Linked DNA regions of Mus musculus. The protein of the gene in region 2 purifies or fractionates together with the protein of the main gene of each other region. This does not show direct contact. Links are inferred from orthologs where the notes say so. Each region holds a gene or a part of one and is shown on either strand. Other genes may lie near its edges. The genes, in order: Ezh1, Mtf2 and Jarid2.

Evidence for each region.
Region 1: the proteins of Mtf2 (region 2) and Ezh1 purify together in Homo sapiens (affinity purification with mass spectrometry; 3 studies listed by BioGRID and IntAct, with this or other methods). This does not show direct contact. The link is inferred for Mus musculus from reciprocal best matches to the Homo sapiens genes MTF2 and EZH1.
Region 3: the proteins of Mtf2 (region 2) and Jarid2 purify together in Homo sapiens (affinity purification with mass spectrometry; 3 studies listed by BioGRID and IntAct, with this or other methods). This does not show direct contact. The link is inferred for Mus musculus from reciprocal best matches to the Homo sapiens genes MTF2 and JARID2.

Annotation. Positions count from the first base shown.
Region 1 is NC_000077.6:101,193,673-101,200,747, reverse strand, and holds part of Ezh1 (histone-lysine N-methyltransferase EZH1), read left to right. Parts: intron 1-761; coding exon 762-802; intron 803-1,364; coding exon 1,365-1,490; intron 1,491-5,050; coding exon 5,051-5,229; intron 5,230-5,766; coding exon 5,767-5,862; intron 5,863-6,198; coding exon 6,199-6,280; intron 6,281-6,941; coding exon 6,942-7,022; intron 7,023-7,075.
Region 2 is NC_000071.6:108,062,253-108,069,787, forward strand, and holds the start of Mtf2 (metal-response element-binding transcription factor 2), read left to right. Parts: upstream 1-3,421; 5' UTR 3,422-3,708; coding exon 3,709-3,713; intron 3,714-5,207; exon of another isoform or gene 5,208-5,320; intron 5,321-6,909; exon of another isoform or gene 6,910-7,073; coding exon of another isoform or gene 7,074-7,111; exon of another isoform or gene 7,112-7,271; intron 7,272-7,535. UniProt on the Homo sapiens protein: Polycomb group (PcG) protein that specifically binds histone H3 trimethylated at 'Lys-36' (H3K36me3) and recruits the PRC2 complex, thus enhancing PRC2 H3K27me3 methylation activity.
Region 3 is NC_000079.6:44,900,715-44,907,789, forward strand, and holds part of Jarid2 (protein Jumonji), read left to right. Parts: intron 1-1,511; coding exon 1,512-2,544; intron 2,545-5,518; coding exon 5,519-6,021; intron 6,022-6,779; coding exon 6,780-6,872; intron 6,873-7,075.

The DNA.
Region 1 (7,075 bases), on a different chromosome or scaffold from region 2:
ACTCACTGCACTGGGCAGAACCAGCCCATCTTATTGGGACGCTCAGATGAGAGACTCTGTCTTCAGAACTCCCTCAAGTCCTGTGACTAGGTCCAGCTCTTCCCTGTGCCCACACTGAGGACATGGCTGGCCTCTGCCTCTGCACTAAGATTATTTCCCCTTTCTTGGGTGTTGACCATCTTCCCCACTCTGCAGAGTTTGTCCCTTTTCTTTATAGTGTTGTTTTTCAGAGTTACATAGTGCTGTTTATTGGTTGGAAGTTAGAAAAACAAATAGCTGAGTGTGGTTATATACTTTTAATCCCAAAACTGAGAGGCAGATGGATCTCTGTTCAAGGCTAGCCTGGTCTACATAAATAGTGTCAGGTCAACCAGAAGTACATGGTGAGACCCTGTCTAAAAGATAACAAGCATCACTCTGATGATGGCCAGGTGACAAGTAAAGGAGGTGGCTCTAGCTCTAGCTACGAAGGAATTCCCTTCTGCTCTTCTCCTGCCAGCCTCTTCACTGTGGGCTTTTCCTCCTACCATCTTGGAGTTCTGCCGGGCAAGGGGAGAAGTGGCAAGAGGGAGAAGCAGTAATGCGAGACAGCTTTGTGACTTTGATTTGTCTGGGTTTTTGTTATTTTGGTGTTTTGGGAGGAGGAGCCTCCTGCTAAAGAACTCAGAAAGAGCACCTTACAGTTGTCCAGCTAGAGCAGGACAGTCATGTGTCTTCAGAGGACCACAACTCAGACCTATTCTTCTTTCTTTTTCTCCTAGGTTGTGGGCCGCACACTGCAGGAAAATTCAGCTGAAGAAAGGTAAGTTCAGTAGAAAAAAGGTGGGGTTTAGATCAGAGTGGAGTGCATGCTTAGCGTGTTCAAGGTCATGGGCTCCATCTTAGGTGCCTTGCTCATAGAAACATATACACACACACCCTGAGTTCAGATTAAGGCCTCACCCTGTGGTTATCACTCTGCTGCACCTATAGCTCTCTTGTTGGCCCTAGCTGCTTCTACAGATTGCAGATTTCTTTGCAGCATCGTCAGGGCTGAGCCAATGACTACAGCCGAGATGCTGTCTCAGAAGATAAACTTAAAGCCTTGTGGTCTCTTGAGTTTCCTAGTGTGCTGTTTGCCAGTTCCAGACCTCTTTTCATGTTTAGAGTAGCTGCCTTGTTATCTAGGACCATCTCTGCACCCTACCCACAAAGCAGATACTCTGTTGTTTACGCACAGGGGTCAGCTACATTATCAAGTGCTGAGTGTGGCCAGGGTCATAGTTGGGACAAGCCTTCTTTGACATGAGGCGCTGGAACATTTGGGGGATAGGGCATCAAGGTAGCCTTGTTGCAACAATGTCCTGCTCTTTTCTCTTTTTTAGATAACAATTCTACACAAGTGTATAACTACCAACCCTGTGACCACCCAGACCGTCCGTGTGACAGCACATGCCCCTGCATCATGACCCAGAACTTTTGTGAAAAGTTCTGCCAGTGCAGCCCAGACTGTAAGAGCACCCTGCTTTCACCATCGTCTACCCAAGTGGTTGGCCTTGGAGTGCCCAGACTCTTTTCTCCTGCCCCTTAGCTGCCTGGAGACTTTTAATATCCCTTTGCTGTGCTGCAGGCATCCTACAGGGAGGAAAGGTGTGATCTCCCATGTTGTGGGGGTTGCTCTGTTCTATTTTCTGATTTTTAATTTTAAAACTTCATTATTTTATGTATATGAGTGTTTTCCCTGCATGTATGTCTGTATTGTGGGGCATGCCTGTTGTCCAAGAAGGTCAGAAGAGGGAATAAGATCCCCTGGTACTGGAGTTAGACAGTTGTGAGCCACCATGTGGGTGCTGGGAGTCAATCTCAGGTCCTCTGGAAGAGCAGCCATTGCTCCTAGCTGCTGAGCCGTCTCTCCAACCCCTGTTCTACCCCCAACTCCTGAGGTCACAAAGTCTCAAAAAAAACCTAAACACTGGGTGGTGGTGGTGGCCATCTTTACCTCTAGCACTCCAGAGGCAGAGGTAGGTGACCCTCCCAAGTTTGAGGTCAGCCTGGTCTACAGAGTGATTTTGAGTTCCAGGACAACCAGGGCTGCATAGAAAAGCCCTGTCTCAAAAACACGTTCCCCCACCACCAAAAAACGTCTTTTCTCTCCCTCCCATCTCCTGCCTTCTTCTTTCTCCCCACCCACTCTGTATTTTCAAGCAAATTTCCTTTTTTCCACCTCATAGGTAGCTGAGATTACAGATGTGTGCCATCTTTCCTAGCTGTGAAAGTAATGTAAGCCTTCAGGGTGGGGTTCAGGAAGCAGGAACTAGACATGAGGCTTCTCCATCTTGTTCACAGGAGAGCTGAGAAGTGGGAGCTTCTGCACTCAGGGTGCACCATCCTCATCAGGATGGTGGGTTTTGCAAGTGTAGAGCCAGAGAGATGGCTCAGTGGTTAACAACACTTCCTGCTCTTCTGGAAGACCTGAGTTTGGTTCCCAGCCCCCATATCAGGCAGTTTACAACCACCTGTGATTCCGGCTCCAGGAGATCTGACACCTTCTGTCCTTGGACATCCACGCACACTTAACATACACATACACATAAATAAAAATAAAAGTGAACAAAAAAGATACATGGGTTGAGTGTGGTAGTGTGTAACTGTAATTAGGTCTGGACCTCCACTGTGGGAGTCTGAGGCAGGAGGATCAGTGTTCAAGGCCAACCTGTGCTACTAAGGAAACTATGTCTTAACAACACCTACCACCTCTAGGTTTGTTTAGGTAGATACAGGAGCACTTATAGAGCTGGTTATAGAACCAGCTCTAGCATTGGGAGAATGATGCAGGCCTTGTACCCAGGTTAAACCCCGCCCCAAAAGAGAGAACAGGAGAGGGAGGGAGATAGGAAAGAGGAGAAGAAAAAGGAGAACAGCCGAGGCCGTTCTTCAGGAAAAGGCAATACAATGAATTTGCCAGGAAGCCTTGGTTAGATCTGGAAGCACGTGAGGAAAGGAAAGAACAGATTCTTGGACTGTCCTCTTAGCTCCACCCACATGCACACACCTACTGAGTATGTAATTAAAGGGAAACGTTTGGGGGAAAGAAAAAGAATACATGCACAGACCTCGGGGATGACCTTGACCTCCCGCTCCTCTTACCCCCACCTCCTGGATGCTGGGATTACAGGTGTGCGCCATCACACTGGACCCATACAGGTTCTTTATGTCCACAGTAACTGCAGAGTGACTATTAGACTAGCTGTTGAATCTATGACCTGTCCTTGCTATGCTTTGTCTGTATACTCCACCCTGGCTGAAGTTCTTTTAGAACTCTTTCTTTTCCCCCAGCATATATTAAGTAAGCTGGATAAAGAACATTGATTTCAATATTTTCATATTAGCTGCAGTTTATTTTGTTGTTGTATTTTGTTTTGTTTTGTTTGGGGGGGGGGGGGTCGAGACAGGGTTTCTCTGTATAGTCCTGGCTGATCCTGGAACTCACTCTGTACACCAGGCTGGCCTCGAACTCAGAAATCCACCTGCCTCTGCCTCCCGAGTGCTGGGATTAAAGGCGTGCGCCACCACGCCCGGCTTTTGTTTTGTTTTGAGACAGGATCTTAGTATGCAGTCCTGGATGGCCACAGACTCACAGAGATCTACCTGTCTCTGCCTCCTGAGTGGTAGGATTAAAGGCGTGCACCGACATACTCAGCTGAAGAGTTTTTGTACATCTGATAGGAGGGCCTGGCGTAGGTGCATACTGTTCTCATGGAACCCTAGATTGGTTCCCAGCACCCACATCAGGCAGCTTACAAGGAAGTGTAACTTTAGCTCTGAGGGTTCTAATGCCACCTTTTGGCCTCCAAGGGCTTTTGCACTCAGGTATACATACTCACCCAAAGATACACACATATAATTAAAATTAAGAATAAATGTGTAGGGAGCTAGAGAGCCGGCTCAGTGGTTAAAAGCAGAGAGCATGGGTTCTGTTTCCAGCACCCTCATAACCAGCTATAACTCAACTCACAGAATCTGCTGCTTTCTTCTGGCCTCTGTGGTGATTCAAGCATGTGTTTCACATGGATACGTGGGCACACACATCAAATAAAAATACATACATACATACTTACTATTTACATGGGTGTGCACATATCTGGTAGGAGACAGGGTAGGAGGTGTCAGCAGAAAAATAGTTCTCCACTTCTTACCCACCTTAACCTTTCCTCATTTTTCCTGCTTGTGGCCAAGCAATAGATGGCAGCCTCTGGGTTTGCAGAGGGCAGTACCCAGGCCTCTGTGCTGTGATTGTCACCTGACAAGGAAGAGATAGTGATCTCAGCCACAGTAGATAAGAGCTAGTGCTGCTGAGCTGTGGGCAGCGAGGACCGCACAGAGCGGATGCTGCGTTCGTTTCCGAAGACGGTGCTTGTTTTGATGAGGAGGCTTTACTGTGAAAAGCACTGATTTCATTTTCTTCTGGGTTCTTTCCACCTCAGTTCCAAATTCTGTCAACAAGGACGAGAGGGGGACCCTGTTAGGAAATCTCCAGGTGACACTTAATAGTCACACCTGCCTTTTTGTCTGTTGGGAATTAGTTCATAGTGTGTGTGTCTCTGTGTTAGCACACGCGTGCATGTGTGTGTGGCCAGAGGTTAACCTTGGGTGTCATTCGTGAGGAACCACCTACCTTGTTTTTCTAGATGGGATCTTTCACTGCAGCTAAGGGCTTGCTCATTAGCTAGGTTGTGTGGTGAGTGAGCGCCAGGAATCCATCCGTCTGCACTTTCCCTGCACTGGGGTTCTAAGCACATAGGTGGTTCCATGCCTGACATTTGTATATAGGTTCTGTGGATCAAAATTAGTTTCTCATGTTTACACGGTGAGTGCTTTAACAACTGAGCCATGTCCTGAGCCCTAACGGAGGCACTTCCTTGTCTTGAGGGAAAAGCCAGATGTTCAGGGGAAGGAACCTTCTGCCTGTTGTGCCAAGAGTCCTTGGACATGTCACATTCAGTTCTCTGCTCTCCCCGAGTCCGACCTGCATGAGTGCCCGCTTCCTAACCATCCCAATCTCCCCACTCAGGCCAGAATCGCTTTCCTGGTTGTCGCTGTAAGACTCAGTGCAATACCAAGCAATGTCCATGCTACTTGGCAGTTCGTGAGTGTGACCCTGACTTGTGCCTCACCTGTGGGGCCTCAGAGCACTGGGACTGTAAGGTGGTGTCTTGCAAAAACTGCAGCATCCAGCGTGGCCTCAAAAAGGTGAGGTCTTTTCTTGGGTCAAGATGACAGTGGGAAGGAGGAAATGTTACCAGGTGTCATTGTTCCTTTGGCTCCTCAGAGGGGTTGTATGTAAAAGTGCTTGACAGATCTTGTCAGTGGTCAAAGTAATCTAATTTTCCATTCTACCAAAAGGAGCAGAGGGGTATAGACCATTCTATTCCCCTGTGGTGTTGGGTTGAAGTCCAAGTCTCTGCACATGAGAGGCAAGCACTTTCCCTCTGGGCTCCACAGCCCCAGAGTTGCCCCTTCTACTGCCTACATTATGATGTATGCCCAGACTCAGCCCCGGAGGTCCACAAGGAAGAGGAAGAAAATATCCTGTTTCCTTTACCATTTCCAGTTTTTGTTCTTACCCCTCAAGAGTGAAATGGTTTGGACCTCTTCTGTTTTCAGGTTCCCCTGACAGTTGGTAGTTCTTTCCACCTGCCCCCGTCCCACACGTGCACATGAAGCACTCACACCCACTCACACCCGCCCACCCGCCCGCCATCTAAGGCTTGCCTCCCTCTCCCCCAGCACCTGCTGCTGGCCCCTTCCGATGTGGCCGGATGGGGCACCTTCATCAAGGAGTCTGTGCAGAAGAATGAATTCATTTCTGAATATTGTGGTGAGGTGAGTGTTCCAGGTTCAGCCCGTGTTCTTACTGGGAAGATACTGACAAGAAGCTCTCTGACTTTCTGTGGGTTAGGCTTCTGTGAATTCATCTCTAAATAACTCAGCCCAGTTTTCATGTGGCCTCTCAGGGGATCCCACAGAACTGTTTGCAATCCTGAAACAAACCACTGTTTGTCAAGTGTTGGTATCTTGCTCTCTCTAGCCTTCACCCTGGTCAGCTTTGGTGGAGAGGGCTAGCAGAGTCTTGCTCTCCTGCACTGCCCCTTCCCAGGTAGGACAGTGTCAGACCTCGAGCAGGCGAGACATCCACTTCTTCCTTGTTTACTCCTCCAGCTCATCTCTCAGGATGAGGCTGATCGTCGAGGGAAGGTCTATGATAAATACATGTCCAGCTTCCTCTTCAACCTCAACAATGGTATGGCATGGCCTTCTGTACCTAGGTGATCATGTGCAAGTCTTCACACTAAGCAGCCTTGGCTATGATCCAGGTTCCAATCAGCACTGACTCGACCGACTCTTAAAGCAGAGTGCTAAGCTGAGCTGGGAAGCCTCCTGGGCTCTGCTTCATTTCTGAGCTGTGTTAGGAATGGGAACATGGGCACTTGCACTTGAGAAGGTACCCTAACCAATAGGTGGGAGGAGATCCAAAATTCAGAGGGAGGACTCCAGGGGATGCTGTCTCATGAGGAGGCAGGCTGCACTTTCACATATTCTGTTACTATTCTGGGCTTCACGTTCCCATTAGATTAAATTGTTTCTGTTACCTCTTAACTGATCCTAAAGTAGAGCTACAGAATGGGGGATTGAAGCTAGGCACATTTCTGATGCCTATAACCCCAGCATTTGACAGGCTAGAACAAGAGAGCTACCACATATTTGAGGCCAGTCTGAGCTACAGGAGATCCTGTCTTCAACAAACAAAAATGGGCACAGTGGTACAGTCCTGAAGTCATAGCACTGGGCATGAGGGTTACAGTAAGTTCTGGGCCATCCTGGACCACAGAGCTAGACCTTGAACCCCCCCAAAGTATAGTTTCCTGGGACACTCATGATTTTCTTTGATTTATGTCATGTAGATTTTGTAGTGGATGCTACCCGGAAAGGAAACAAAATTCGCTTTGCAAACCATTCAGTGAACCCCAACTGTTATGCCAAAGGTGAGTGAGTCTTGAGGAGCCTAGGAAGTGGGAGGGTTGAATGAACTGCTCGT
Region 2 (7,535 bases):
GCAAATAAGGACATGAGGAGTACAGTTTATTCTGACTTTTTACTTTGTTTTATTCTTTGAGGGATTTGACACCTATTAAAGTCTGACTCTATTATATCTTGCTTAATTAGTACAAAACTTGAAGCTCATGGTTATAGGTTTTATTACATTAACCGTGACTCCTTTTGTGTCTTTGGAAGTCGGAGTACCAGTTTTCTTAAATTAAATGTTTGTTCTAACTTTATATTCATTGTTTAGTTTCAAACCCTGGGATGAGGGATGAACGGGGTCACTGGCGTGGCTGCAAAGCAACTTCTCTCAGGTTTGGCACCATATGATAGGTTATTTCTCTGCTGTTGGGGTTTGAGAATCGCCACTCAAACCATATAAGCACTGACCTCAGTTAAGCAAGAATAGTTTATTGAACAAACACCTTAAACTGAATGATCAGGACTGCAGAAAGAACTCAGAAACCTAATTTTGGTAGTAGTCTGCTCTTAGGGTAGGTTTTTTTTTTTTTTTTTAAATAGGAAAAACCAGGTTCAAAGGTTTAAAGGGAAAGGAGGGGGGAACATTTGGTTGACTAGGCAAAATATTACCAGCTGATCGTTAGGAATTTCCTGTGACTGGCAGGCATGTTACAGCAAGAATATGAAATAGCTGGCAGGCATGGGTCAAAATGGCTACAGCTATTCTGTGGGTGGGTGTCAGTCCATTACATCTGCTGCTACTGGTGAAATGAGCCAATTCAAGTCAGATTAGGCAGGTTTATTGGGAAACTGCTCTCCAGAGAGTGAGTTCACTGGCCCTAAAGAAGGAGGCCAAGGATGTCACCATGGGGGTGGGGGAAAAAAGAGAAAAAGGGTGCTCTTGAGAAAGAGAAGAGGAGGTACAGAGAGAGAGAGAGAGAGAGAGAGAGAGAGAGAGAGAGAGACCAAAATGTCTGACTTTTATAAGGAAGAGCCTCTGGGGGAAGGGCAGCCCAGCAGCCCCTGTGCTGAAAAGTTCAGGGTTGGGGGAGAGAATGACAGGGACTGAGGGATGCTGGGAGAATCTGCAGGCCAGGTCTGTTTGGGTATGTAAAATATGCAACTCAGTCCATGTACTGTGGTACAAAACCAATCACTCATGTCTACATAGGAAAAAAATTAAAGAGGTGTCAAGCACAGGTGGTGGCGCACGCCTTTGATCCCAGCACTTGGGAGGCAGAGTCAGGAGGATCTCTGAGCCTGAGGTCAGCCTGGTCTACAGAGTGAGTTCCAGGACAGCCAGAGCTATACCCATCTCAACAAACAAACAAACAAACAAACAAACAAACAAACAAACAGAAAAAAGGTGTCTTAGAGTTCTTTAATTTACAAAGTATTAGATCACTTTTTGTGACCAAAGGTGCCAAAGTTTAGGTCAGAAAGTGTAAAGCAGATTATGTTTCCTTGTATCGAGTTTTAAATTATGGCACCCACCTGATGTATAGTTTGTTTTCAAGATTTATATTTACTTATTTTATGTATATGTATAAGAGAGTCCTTCTCTTCAGACACACCAGAAGAGGGCATCGGATCCCATTACAGTTTATGACCCATTGTGTGGTTGCTGGGAATTGAACTCAGGACCTCTGGAAGAGCAGTCAGTGCTCTTAACCACTGAGCCATCTCTCCAACCTCTTTTAAAAGACTTACCTATTTTTATTTTATGTACTATGCTGTTTTGCCTCTTAGAATTAGAGCTAAAGACACTGTGATCTGTCATGTGGGTGCTGGGAATTGAACACAGGTACTCAAGAGCTCTTAACTACTGTGTGTGTGTGTGTGTGTGTGTGTGTGAGAGAGAGAGAGAGAGAGAGAGAGAGAGACAGAGACAGAGACAGAGTGTGTGTGTGTGTGTGTGTGAGAGAGAGAGAGAGACAGAGACAAGAGAGTGTGTGTGTGTGTGTGTGTGTGTGTGAGAGAGAGAGAGACAGAGACAGAGAGACAGAGACAGAGAGAGAGAGTGTGTGTGTGTGTGTGAGAGAGAGAGAGAGACAGAGACAGAGAGAGTGTGTGTGTGTGAGAGAGACAGAGAGAGTGTGTGTGTGTGAGAGACAGAGAGAGACAGTGTGTGTGTGAGAGAGTCAGATACAGAGACACATGAGAGAGAGAGAGAGACAGAGAGAGAGAGAAAGAGGGAGAGACACAGATTGATATAATGTACTGAATAAAATATACTGTATAATACAAAGCTAGCCATGGTGGCTCAGGCCTTTTAATCCCAGTACTGAGGAGGCAGAGACAGGAAGATCTCTGTGAGCTTGAGGCAAGCCTGGTCTACACAATGAGTTCCAGGACAACCAGAGCTATATAATAGATAGACTCTGTCTTCAAAAAAGAAAAAAAAATGTAGTATAATATGAATATGCCTATTTGCCAGATTTTTCAGAACCTAGGTAAAGGGAACTCTTTTTTGTTTTGTTTTGTTTTGTTTTTCGAGACAGGGTTTCTCTGTATAGCCCTGGCTGTCCTGGAACTCACTCTGTAGACCAGGCTGGCCTTGAATTCAGAAATCTGCCTGCCTCTGCCTCTCAAGTGCTAGGATCAAAGGCGTGCGCCACCACCGCCCAGCTTAAAGGGAACTCTTGAAATATGAGTGAAAGGAATTTAGATCATAAGAGGTATTTCTTCAGAGAGAAAATTCAGTACTGCCTCTGTGACATAATCTGTGATAAAAAGTATATGACTCTGAAAATATTTTCACAAAATAGAAACGTATTACAGGTGTTTCTATAAGTGCTGGGTTGCATTCAAATATAAGTCAAAGATATAAGCATGCATTCCATTTATCAGCTGGGCCTCATATAAAAGCCTGCAATAGTATGAAAGTTGTGTGTTCCTTCAATCAACTGCTTTGCAGGAGGGTATGCTCAAATTTCACTACAATTAGGAAAGGTCACAAAGCAGGTAAACAGGGAAAAAAAAATCTCGTTCATCGTCAGAGGAAAAAAAAGTGAAAATCTCCCATTACAGATTCCAGATAAGTTTGGATTTGGATAGTATTCATTGAACGAAATTTGCCATCCAGGGTCTCCTCCCCACTTAAGGGGATTATAACAGCAGGCCTCTAGGTGAAGGTAAAAGAAAAGTATTTTTTCCAGTTAATAATTTCCTTTCTTCAGAAAGGAAATCACCCCATCAAGATGTACTGAGCAATATCCTATTTCTGAGGGCATTAAAAAAGACCGCACGAAAGACTGGACACGATCTCTCTTTTTAAAAGACCTAGTAAGGCAAGCATCAGCGTCGGGAAGCGCTGCGCTCACTATTGTGTCTGCACCGGCAGCAAGAGGACTTAATTCCACCGCGACGTTAAAGAGTCCCTCTTTGTTCAGCGCTGGTCCGGGACGCAGGGCGCGGTGTTCCTCCGCGCTCGCCGCGCAGGCCCCGCCCCTCTGCGGCTCTGGAGAGCTGCCATTCGGCCCCGGAGTAGCTCCGCGCTCCCAGAATGCACCGCTAGTCCGCGGGAAACCAAAATGGCGAAGGGCTGTTGCGAAGTGGTCTGTGTTTGAGGCCGGTGTGAGCACGCACATTCTCCTTCCTAACCCTCGTCCCCAAGGAACTCGGTGTGTGTGTGCGTGTGCGCAGGGCTCCCGCTGGGGCGGGTGCCCAGGGAGTGCCCGGACTCGCGGGGGAGCGCCCACGGGAACGAGATTGCTTCTATTTTCCTGTATGAAGCGGTTGGCACCACTTAAGTGACCGAATGAGGTGAGAGACCTTGGCCTGGGAACCGACTCTTTGGGAGGAGGTTGGGATGAGGAGAGACGAAAGAAAGGAAGCAAAAGAAAGGGGAAAGATGGAGGCTCCGCTTTGGGCAAGGGAGTCCTGTGTGGGGGTGTTTTTGCATTGATGCATATGTTGAAAGAATGGATCGGGAGGGGTAGTCAGTGAGATGTTGGTAAAAATAGGGACTGGGGGAAGGAGCGGGGCGCCCCGCTCGGGAGTCAGTTGGTGGAATTAGATAAAACGTTGAGACAGGGAAGCTGTGTTTGGAGGGCAGGAAGGAACCTGGGGGCGGGAGACGGTTGGAGGGGCAGGATGAACCTGGTGATGAGGGGGTGGGGAACCGAGGGGAGGAGCCGTCAGAATGCGGGGAGCCTAGTAGAGGGGCTGACTGGCACTTTAAGGGGTGCTAAGGAAAGTAGCAGTTTGGAACCAGAGGGTGCTGGAATTGTGTGGAATTGTGGTAGGGGAATCTAGTGGTGGGCTAGATAGCTAGCGTACGAGGATGAGGAAAATACCCTGGAAAGCAAGCCCTGGAAGCTTAAAGAGAAGAAGTGATAGGTGAATTGATACGGGGAAGAGATAGCTTTTATTTGGAGGCATTTCTTCCGTTCAATTAAAATTTCTTGCCCTGATAATTTGTATTCATCATTACAACTTAGTTACTTACGGCACTAAGGGGTTTAACCAAAATTTTCCAGGATTTCTTAACACATTTCCATAGTGCCAGAACTCTTAACTGTGATTTACAATCTGCAGTCCTTGGTGGTTAATTTTTTCTTTGGCAGAGATGGATTTATTGAGTGGTACGAGAGATTGTGAACAATAGGAAAAGGGGTATGGAATGCTGTTTTATTCTTTAAAACCTTTAACTTTGGTTGAAGATATTACCATGCAACAGTAGTTAGAATTTGAAAACCCAGACAAGCCTGTAATTGACATAGAAAAGTACCTCATGAGATCAAAGTAGAGCTAGAAATATGTTAGTGGTTGGTTGACTCCGTTTTCTCTAGCAGCAAGTACTTTCTCCTTCAAATAGATTCCATGTAATCTTCATAGGAACTTCTGCAGACTGTTTTCAGCCTTTATGTTTTAATTTTTCTTTTGGGAATTTCTTTTTTGGGAGAGAATTGTGGGTAAAAAAACTGATTCTTTTTAGGATGCTGGATAATACTTTAAATGTTTATTTTTTTATTTAATGTATATAAGCACACTATTGCTGTCTTCAGACACATCAGAAGAGGGCATCAGATCCCATTACAGATGGTTGTGAGCCACCATGTGGTTGCTGGGAATTGAACTCAGGACCTCTGGAAGAGCAATCGGCACTCTTAACCACTGAGCCATCTCTCCAGCCCCCTGGACAATGCTTTAAGTGGAGGATTTTTGTTTTTTGTTTTTTTGTTTTTCCTTTTTAAGTTTTGAAGCAGGGTCTCGTTATATAACTCTGGCCAGCCTGGAACTCACTTTGTATTCCAGACTGGCTTGAAAAGACAGATCTGTCTGCACCTGCACACTGAATGCTGATGGAGATCACTACCATGCTCGGCTGTTATTACTTTACTTGAGTTCACATCAGCAACTATCATTGGGTATGCAACTATATTTAAATGTGTACTGTGGAGATTTCTTTTCCTTTTGTTTTCTCCTTTTCTTATTTATTTATTTATTTATTTACTTACTTATTTATTTATTTTTGGAGACAGGGTTTCTCTGTATAGCCCTGGCTGTCCTGGAACTCACTTTGTATAGACCAGGCTGGCCTTGAACTCAGTAATCCACCTGCCTCTGCCTCCCAAGTGCTGGGATTGAAAAATTGCCTGGCGAATTTTTTTTCCTTATTTGTTCAAAAAGTATATATTGGGGACTTTGTGTCATATGTGGTCTTAAATATTAAAAATACCGTTGTTGAACAATAGACATGTTCAGAGCTCATGTAGAGTATGCAGTTTGATTTTTGAGCAATGAGTAATGATAGAATGAACACACAAACACAAACGTGTACATGGGTGCACAGGCATACGTGGCAAGCACCATTTAACACCTTCAAGTTACACAATTGATATTTGATGGTAGTAATGATGAAAGTACAAAATAGATTCATAATGGAGTATGCAATTGAGATAGCTGAATTCAAGACAGTAATACAGCTGAGATTAAAGAAGACAAACATTCTGTCAAATGAATACACCCTGAATTTTGGGGAAAAATGTATAAGACATTTAAAAATTAAAAAAAAATGCATATGTGGTGGGGGAGGGTTAGGGGGGTATGTGCTACTGTCCATGGAGGCCAGAAGCATGAGAGTCATAGGTGGTTGTGAGCTGCCTAATAAGTGCTGGAAACCAAACTCAGTTCTTCTCCAAGAGTAATATGTGTTTTTAATGGCTGAGACATGTCTCTAGCCCCCATAAAGGATATTTTTCACCAGTTATAGTGGTTTTAAAATTTAACCTGCTGTAATGAATGCATTTTTCATTTTCTGTTTTATTTTAAGACTTAAAAAAAAAAAGATTATGTGTTTGAGTACACTATAGCTGTCTTCAGACACACCAGAAGAGGGTGTCAGATCCCATTACAGATGGTTGTGAGCTACCATGTGGTTGCTGGGAATTGAACTCAGGACCTTTGGAAGAATAGTCAATGCTCTTAACTGCTGAGCCATCTCTCCAGCCCCAACTTATTTTTATGTATATGAAGATTTTTGCCTGCATGTATATGTGTGCACCACATGGGAGCAGTGCCCACAGAGGCCAAAAGAAGGTGGTTTATTCCTTTGGAACTGGAGTTAGAAATGGTTGTAAGTTGCCATGTTAATGCTGGGAATCAAAGGCCCTGGAGATTGAACTCAGGTCCTCTGGAAGGACAGCCAGTACTCCTACTTCTGAGCCATCTCTACAGTCTAAGAATGAATTTCTTGACAGCAGATAGGGGCAGAAAGATCCAAAGTTCAAGGCTATTCTTAGCTATATATGAATTCGCAGCTAGCCTGGGACACATGAGGCCCCATTTGGGAAAAAAAGTAGAAATGATTACCAGGGGCTAAATAATAATCATAATATAATCATATCATAAAAGTAGGACTTAGACATAAAGTGATGGTTTAACTTCATTGTCAATTTGATTAGATTCAGATTCACCATGGAAATATACCTCTGGATATGCCTATGATTGTTTTCAGAAAGGTTTAACTGAGGAGGGAAGACCCACCCTGACTATGTGAGGCCACCATACCCATGGGCTGGGGTCCTGGATTGAATCAAATGGAGGAAGCAAGCTGAGCATGAACATTGACCTTCCTGACTGCAGATATCAGTGCGATAGCTGTCTCCTGCTTCTTCTACTATGCCTCCCCCTTCCATGATGGACTGTACTCTGAAACTGTGAGCCAAAATATACACTTTTTTTATGTTGTTTTTGTCAGAGTTTTTTACACAGCAATGAGAAAAATACTGAATGCATATATTAATAAAATTTCAAGACATGAAGAACAAAGGACTGTGGCTCAGTAGAGTAAGATTTTTCATCCTAGTGCTGAGTATAGTAAGTGAACAGCACCAGACTTTCTTTACAGAGGGAAATTCTTTACAATGTAAAGTTCTGTGTGTAGGAACTGAATGAGTCAGTTGTTATTTATTGCTTGGCCTCACCTGGCACTCCTGTGTTGAAACTTTGTTCCTTTCCTAGCTAGGACTACAGGTTCCTGCTACTCTACCAGTGAGTTGCAATGAGGACTGAGATATTTGTAGGTCTAGAAGAAGACCTTAGAGAAGCTTTGTGCACATATCCTTTTACTGTATGCCACGT
Region 3 (7,075 bases), on a different chromosome or scaffold from region 2:
CAAAGCATCTCAAAAGACCTGACTGGAATTCCAAAATCTCCAGCCTCGTTACATCTGGAGGGGGCTTTGTAGACTTGAGGTGTTGGGAGGTGGCCTATTTGGACAGCCATGAACTTTTAATTTCCAGTGTTGGTTTGGATGTCAGCCAATTTGAACTATTTCGTTCATTCTACTGGAAGTTCCCAATCAGCCTGGGCTTACCACCCAGGACTCTTTGTTTGTTTGTTGATCGGTTTTTTTTGTTTGTTTGTTTGTTTTGGTTTGTTTTTTTTTGATTTTTCGAGACAGGGTTTCTCTGTATAGCCCTGGCTGTCCTGGAACTCACTTTGTAGACCAGGCTGGCCTCGAACTCAGAAATCCACCTGCCTCTGCTGGGATTAAAGGCGTGCACCACCACGCCTGGCACCACCCAGGACTCTTGTGGCAAGGGCAGGCGGATCGTGATTCAGCCTCAAGATGGCACCTTGTAGCTACCATTAGTAGCCTCAGCAAGACTGTTTCCCATCCACAAGCCAGGCCCCTGACTCAGCACTCTTTTGCAAAGAGGTCTCTGGTTTCTGTAATTGTGTATGTTTTATGGGCTCTTTTGGCACCATTAAAAGCCTGTTTCTTCTTGATTTTTAAATTCATGGTATAGATGACACCCATGAGACTAAATGTAACACCAAACTCACAGCTATGGTGATTGGTGTAAAATCACCTACCCTTAACTGATGAGTCTAACACCTCATTGTTCTTGTATTTGGAAATCAGTGGGCCTCTGGGGGTTCGGTGGTACCAGAACCACACTGTTCCATTCTTTGTGAATGAGGCAACTGTTTCACAGAATTTTTCCTTTGGTTTTCCATCTGTCAGATGGATGGCCAGTACAGGACAGCTGCCTCTATTTACCCAGTTTAACTGAAACCCAAATGAGGGCTTGCAAGGGGCAAGAAAATAGGAACCATTTGTGCAAAAGGGGGTTAGGCGTTTTGTAGCATCACAAAAGAAGTTAGTGTGCTGGGTTCTTGCTTTTTGTTTTTGTTTTTGCTGTTTTAGTAGCATTATTGGGTTTCATGTTCTGTGGGTCGGCCAGGCTGTTAACATGGAACACACAAAGGATAGCAAACAGCTGCTTTTGGAATAAGAAAAAAATATATTTCAAAAACTTATTGCACACCTTTCTTAAATGAACAGCATCTTGCTGTTGCAGGTTCCTGGGTAACTGATGGGTCAATAGAGAGGGTCTTTATTCTGGACCCTAAGCTTCCTGAAAGAGCCATCTAGAGAGATGTTAGGATGCAGACTCATCGGGGCCGAGCGCTAGGCAGGACTACACAGTGGGCTGCACAATGCTGTGTGTGGTATGAAACTCGTCATTCAGCTAGCACAGATTAATTCTTAGTGGGCTTTCTGCTGCTTATCGGATGTCCTCATGTCTCTTCTGAGCCAGCAACTGTAGAAGTCCTTTCTCACTGGATTTGCCTGGGTACTAATTCTTTCTCTTTCCCCTGCTTCTGCTGCCTCCATAGGTGTCTAAGGTAAATGGAGTCACTCGAATGTCATCTCTGGGTGCAGGTACAAACAGTGCCAAAAAGATCCGAGAAGTCAGACCTTCACCATCCAAAACTGTGAAGTACACTGCCACAGTGACCAAGGGGACTGTCACATACACCAAAGCCAAGAGAGAACTGGTCAAGGAAACCAAACCCAACCACCACAAACCCAGTTCAGCTGTCAACCACACAATCTCAGGGAAAACTGAAAGTAGCAATGCAAAAACCCGCAAACAGGTGCTATCCCTTGGGGGGGCGTCCAAGTCCACCGGGCCTGCTGCCAGTGGCCTCAAGGCCAGCAGCAGGTTGAACCCAAAGTCATGCACTAAGGAGGTGGGGGGGCGGCAGCTGAGGGAGGGGCTGCGGAATTCCAAAAGGAGACTGGAAGAGGCACAGCAAGTGGACAAGCCGCAGTCACCCCCCAAGAAGATGAAGGGGGTGGCAGGCAATGCTGAAGCCCCTGGCAAAAAGGCCTCAGCGGCTTCAGGAGAAAAGTCTCTGCTGAATGGACACGTGAAGAAGGAAGTGCCCGAGCGAAGTTTGGAAAGGAATCGGCCAAAGCGGGCCGCGGCTGGCAAGAATATGCTGGGCAAACAAGCACATGGCAAGACAGAGGGCACCCCCTGTGAAAATCGTTCTACCTCGCAACCCGAGTCCTCGCACAAGCCGCATGACCCACAGGGCAAGCCAGAGAAGGGGAGCGGCAAGTCTGGGTGGGCAGCGATGGACGAGATCCCTGTCCTCAGGCCCTCCGCCAAGGAGTTCCACGACCCGCTCATCTACATCGAGTCAGTACGTGCTCAGGTGGAGAAGTACGGGATGTGTCGCGTGATTCCCCCTCCAGACTGGCGGCCAGAGTGCAAGCTCAACGATGAGATGCGCTTTGTCACGCAGATCCAGCACATCCATAAGCTGGGCCGGCGCTGGGGCCCCAACGTGCAGCGGCTAGCCTGCATAAAGAAGCACCTCAGATCTCAGGGCATCACCATGGATGAGCTCCCCCTCATAGGTGAGTTAATTCGGGGATTGCCGGGTGGGTTCAGCTGGGCCGTCATCTCTAACTCGACAATAGTTGCACTTCTCAACTCATTTCCCTGCTCTTGTAGAACCTCTCTCTCTTTCGTAATAAGTTTGGGGCTTGCTCTTGGTGCTAGAGCCCCTGAGCTGCTGCTGCTGCTGCTGCTGCTGCTGCTGCTGCTGCTGCTGCTGCTGCTGCTGCTGCTGCTGCTGCTGCTGCTGCTGCTGCTGCTGCTGCTGCTGCATGGCTTTTTATTGCTCTAGAGTTGCTGTGGTTGGGCAGTGTCCAGGGAAGGGCTGAGGTCAGGCTGCTACAATGTGCCATGGCTTCAAAACCACAAATTAGGGGTTTCTAATTCTGCATGCTGGCAGGAGTGGTTTTTGCTAAATTGTCTCTGCCTTGTAGTAGGCCACCTGCACTTTGGTCCTCATAGAGTCTTTCCTCTGTATGTCTGTCTGGATATCTCCTTATAAGGACATCAGTCAGGCTGTAGTAAGGCCTACTTGGGTGACCTTATTTTAACTTAGTGGCTACTTTATAGACTCTTCCTCACAATACCATTCCATCCTGGGGTTTTAGGGTTTTGTACTTGTTAATATCAGCTTGGGTGGTCTTATATTTCACCTTACATGGATTATTCCTTTTTTTCTTTTCTTTTTTCTTTTTTTTTTAAAGTTTCTCTCTCTTAAGATTTATTTATTATTATATCCAAAGTACACTGTAGCTGTATTCAGACACACTAGGAGAGGGCGTCAGATCTCATTACGGATGGTTGTGAGCCATCATGTGGTTGCTGGGATTTGAACTCAGGACCCTCAGAAGAGCAGTTAGTGCTCTAAACTACTAAGCCATCTCTCCAGCCCCTTATTCCTTTTTCTTTTTTAGTTTGTCCTAGCATTCCAGTACAGACATTTCTAGTGAAGGCCAACTAGCTTTTACATTGAGGCCAGTCCTTCAAGGTGGCCAGCAGCTCCCCTCCCTGTGGGTTTCAACCCTTATGAATCAGTACAATGTCTGTGGTTGGGATGTATGGAGTAGCTCAGTAGTCAACCCAGGGACACAGTGACATTAACAGGTGGAGAGTTTATAACTCCTCTCCCAGGAGGCTGCCATTAACCATGCCTGATGGGTCTGTTGAAACTTGTTGGTTTGTCATCTCTTGCCAGTGTCAGTATGGGAGGAGCAGGCTTTGGATATAGGCCCATGGACGTGATCAGGAAGCCACACCCATTTAGCCCCACTGCTAGCCCTCTGGTAACCCAGAGGCAAGTGAGTAAGTCCTGCCTTAGAGAGCTCTGTGGTGCCACTCTTCTCTCCCTTCCAGTGCATAGTGCTTTTGTGTTGGGGAACAGGTGAGATGGCAGGTACAGTTGCCATAGTAACCCAGAGACTTGTCCCATAGTTTGTTGTTTTCCCCTGTAAGTCACGAGTCAGTTCATCATTACTCATCTGTATGTGCTTTGCCATTACCCATAGGATAAAAGCTACCCAGGGCCACTGATTTGGCCATGCAGGCTTCAGACCTAGCGCTTCCACTGGGTAGGACTCTGACTCCTGGGGAGCCTCTCTCCCAGAAGGCACTTAGTAAGTGAAGCCTTGATGGGTGGTACAGCCATGGAATGAGGGTTGACGTGTGTGTTTTTAGAGTTCTAAGGAACTTTGCAAGCACTGCATGTCACTTAGGACTGCATACATAGTTAATACTTTGATTTTGGAAGCACTGAAAAAGATACACTGTAGCGGGTGTGTTCTGGGCCGTGTTGGCTCGCAAGGAGCGTCTCATTCATGGAGGAAGACTTTGAAGATTCATGACAGAAATCTACCTTTATTTGCCAATGTGATTGTAGGACCACAAAGCTGCTGCTGCCTGCCCGTGCTGGGTCTGAGGTCCGTTTCCTCCCTCCCTCCCTATGCTCCCAGCCAAGTCAGTTCTGGTATTTGGTAGAGCAATAAATGGGATCTATGCTGCTGTCTCCATCTTACTGACAGGATAGTCTAGGGACTTAATCTGTAGACAGCTGGACAGAATAGGTGGTATAGGTCATGCAGCGCCCAGCCTGGTCCTGTACTGTGTCAACTAGTGGCATATCCCTTTATTAATTTAATTAATAATTAACTAATTTTATTTTATTGTCAATTTAGCCCTACTTTTGAAGATTGAAGAAATCCTTGTTTTGTTGTTTGTATTGCTTGGTTTTTGGTTTCACTGTGTTGTTGGTAGCTATTGCTCTTTTCAGTGATGTGGCTTCTCCATTTTCCATCCAGGTGGATAGAGAGATATAGTCTGTATTTAAACACATCTGAGATGGATTTGTTTCTTTGTTGGTTGTATTTTGGTTTGTTTGTCTGGCACAGGTTAGGCAAGTATTGTACCACTGACCCACTCAGCCCAGCTCCACTGACCCACACAGCCCAGCTCATATTTGAGTGTTGATAAACATTTAGACTCATCTTTTTGGAGATAAGTACCCTCTTGTCTTTTTTTCTTGGATGAGACAAAAAAGCCTTTCTGAGTGAAAGCTAGGCTATTTGGAAGAGACTTGGCTTTGATCACATGTGTCTGACCTTTCACAATATTGATGATGCAGTAAGCTATGGGGGAGCCCTGGCCATGCTCTGCTGTAGTCACCTGTACCCCTCTGTGTAGTAGTGCCCTGGTCTATGCTGAGCACAGCTTTGGTACCATTTCAGTGGTCCTCTCCTTCTGTGCATGGCTACCTCTTTCCTTCTGATCAATTCCTCAGATACTATTTCTGGTCACCTTCCTAAGATGATCATACCTTAGTTTGCTTGTCTCCTGGTACTTAGCCACGACTCTAAGCAGTGCTCAAAACTGTTTGTACATACAAGCTGGCTGCTGGCTGCTTTAGAGCAGCAGTTTTGTAGTAAGGCTTTCAGGACTAATAGGGCATAGGAAAACAACTTGTGATATCCTTGTTAACCATTTCACCCCATTGCTGCCCAGGAGGCTGTGAGCTCGACCTGGCCTGCTTTTTCCGGCTGATTAATGAGATGGGCGGCATGCAGCAAGTGACTGACCTCAAAAAATGGAACAAACTAGCAGACATGCTGCGCATTCCCAAAACTGCCCAGGACCGGCTGGCCAAGCTGCAGGAGGCCTACTGCCAGTACCTGCTTTCCTATGACTCCCTGTCCCCCGAGGAGCACCGACGGCTGGAGAAGGAGGTGCTGATGGAGAAGGAGATCCTGGAAAAGCGCAAAGGGCCATTAGAGGGGCACACGGAGAGCGACCACCACAAGTTCCACTCCCTGCCCCGCTTTGAGCCCAAGAATGGGCTCGTCCACGGTGTCACACCTAGGAATGGATTCCGTAGCAAGCTCAAGGAGGTGGGCCGGGCCCCACTGAAGACGGGCCGGCGGCGGCTGTTCGCTCAGGAAAAAGAAGTGGTCAAAGAGGAGGAAGAAGACAAAGGTGTCCTCAATGACTTCCACAAGTGCATCTATAAGGTGAGTGGGCTGTGCGGTAGGGTGTGCCCTGCCCTGCTGGAGCCGGAGGAAGCTGACTTGTTCTGTGGGATGAGCGCTAGGACGCTGTCTTAGGACTGTTCTGAGCTGCTGTGACCAAATATCACAGAGGAGACTTTCTGTGTTGCTTCTAGAGGTTGGGCTCTTTCTCATTTACAGCATTAGGTGAGTCTTTGGCAACACAGAACTGTCATGAAATGGCGTGCTCTCCATGCCTGTTGGTAGTTATTTAAAGCCGATACTATGATAGTATATTAAACCCCAGGAAATATTTCTTGTTGTTTTTATAAACCTGATATGTTAAATAAAGATTTAGTTGGAAAAAGCTGACATGGTTGGCCCAGGTGCCCACAACTTGTCTGTGGCACTGCGGGTGGCTGCAGGGGCATGCCCATCACCCCTGTCTGTTGCATCTGTGGTAGTGTTTACATTAGATCCTTCTTGTACTTAGGGAGCTTAGAAAGGTTTCAAGTTGCAGGAAAGTAACCTTGTCAACCTCATGCCGAGCCTTGCCTTGCTGGAGAGCAAACCCACCCCTGTCTTCATGCTCACCTCTTGGTGTTGCTTTCCCGAGCACAGTGTACTGGGATAACAAACTTAGGTGGGTGTTGTCACCTATTGAGCACACAGTGTGTCTTTGTCACTATGGGGAAGCCACTGGACAGAGACCTATGACAGAAATTTATGTCTTAACATAACATGTCTTAAGCCAAACTCTTCTTCTGTTTTCTTTGTTTCAGGGAAGATCTGTTTCTCTAACAACTTTTTATCGAACAGCAAGAAACATCATGAACATGTGTTTCAGCAAGGAGCCCGCACCAGCAGAGATTGAGGTAAGTAAGTTAGCCATCTCCATACAACGTCCTGTGACACTAGGAAGGGTCTTGGTGCAGTATGATGGGACACAAAGGCAGAGGTTGTTCCGTGTGTCTGTGCTTGGGCAGCCAAGCATTTTACTCTGGGAATTCCCTAGTCTGCTGGAAGGGCCTGGGGGGCGTGCCTGGGCTCCATCGCTGGTCCAGCTGGCAGTTTTCAC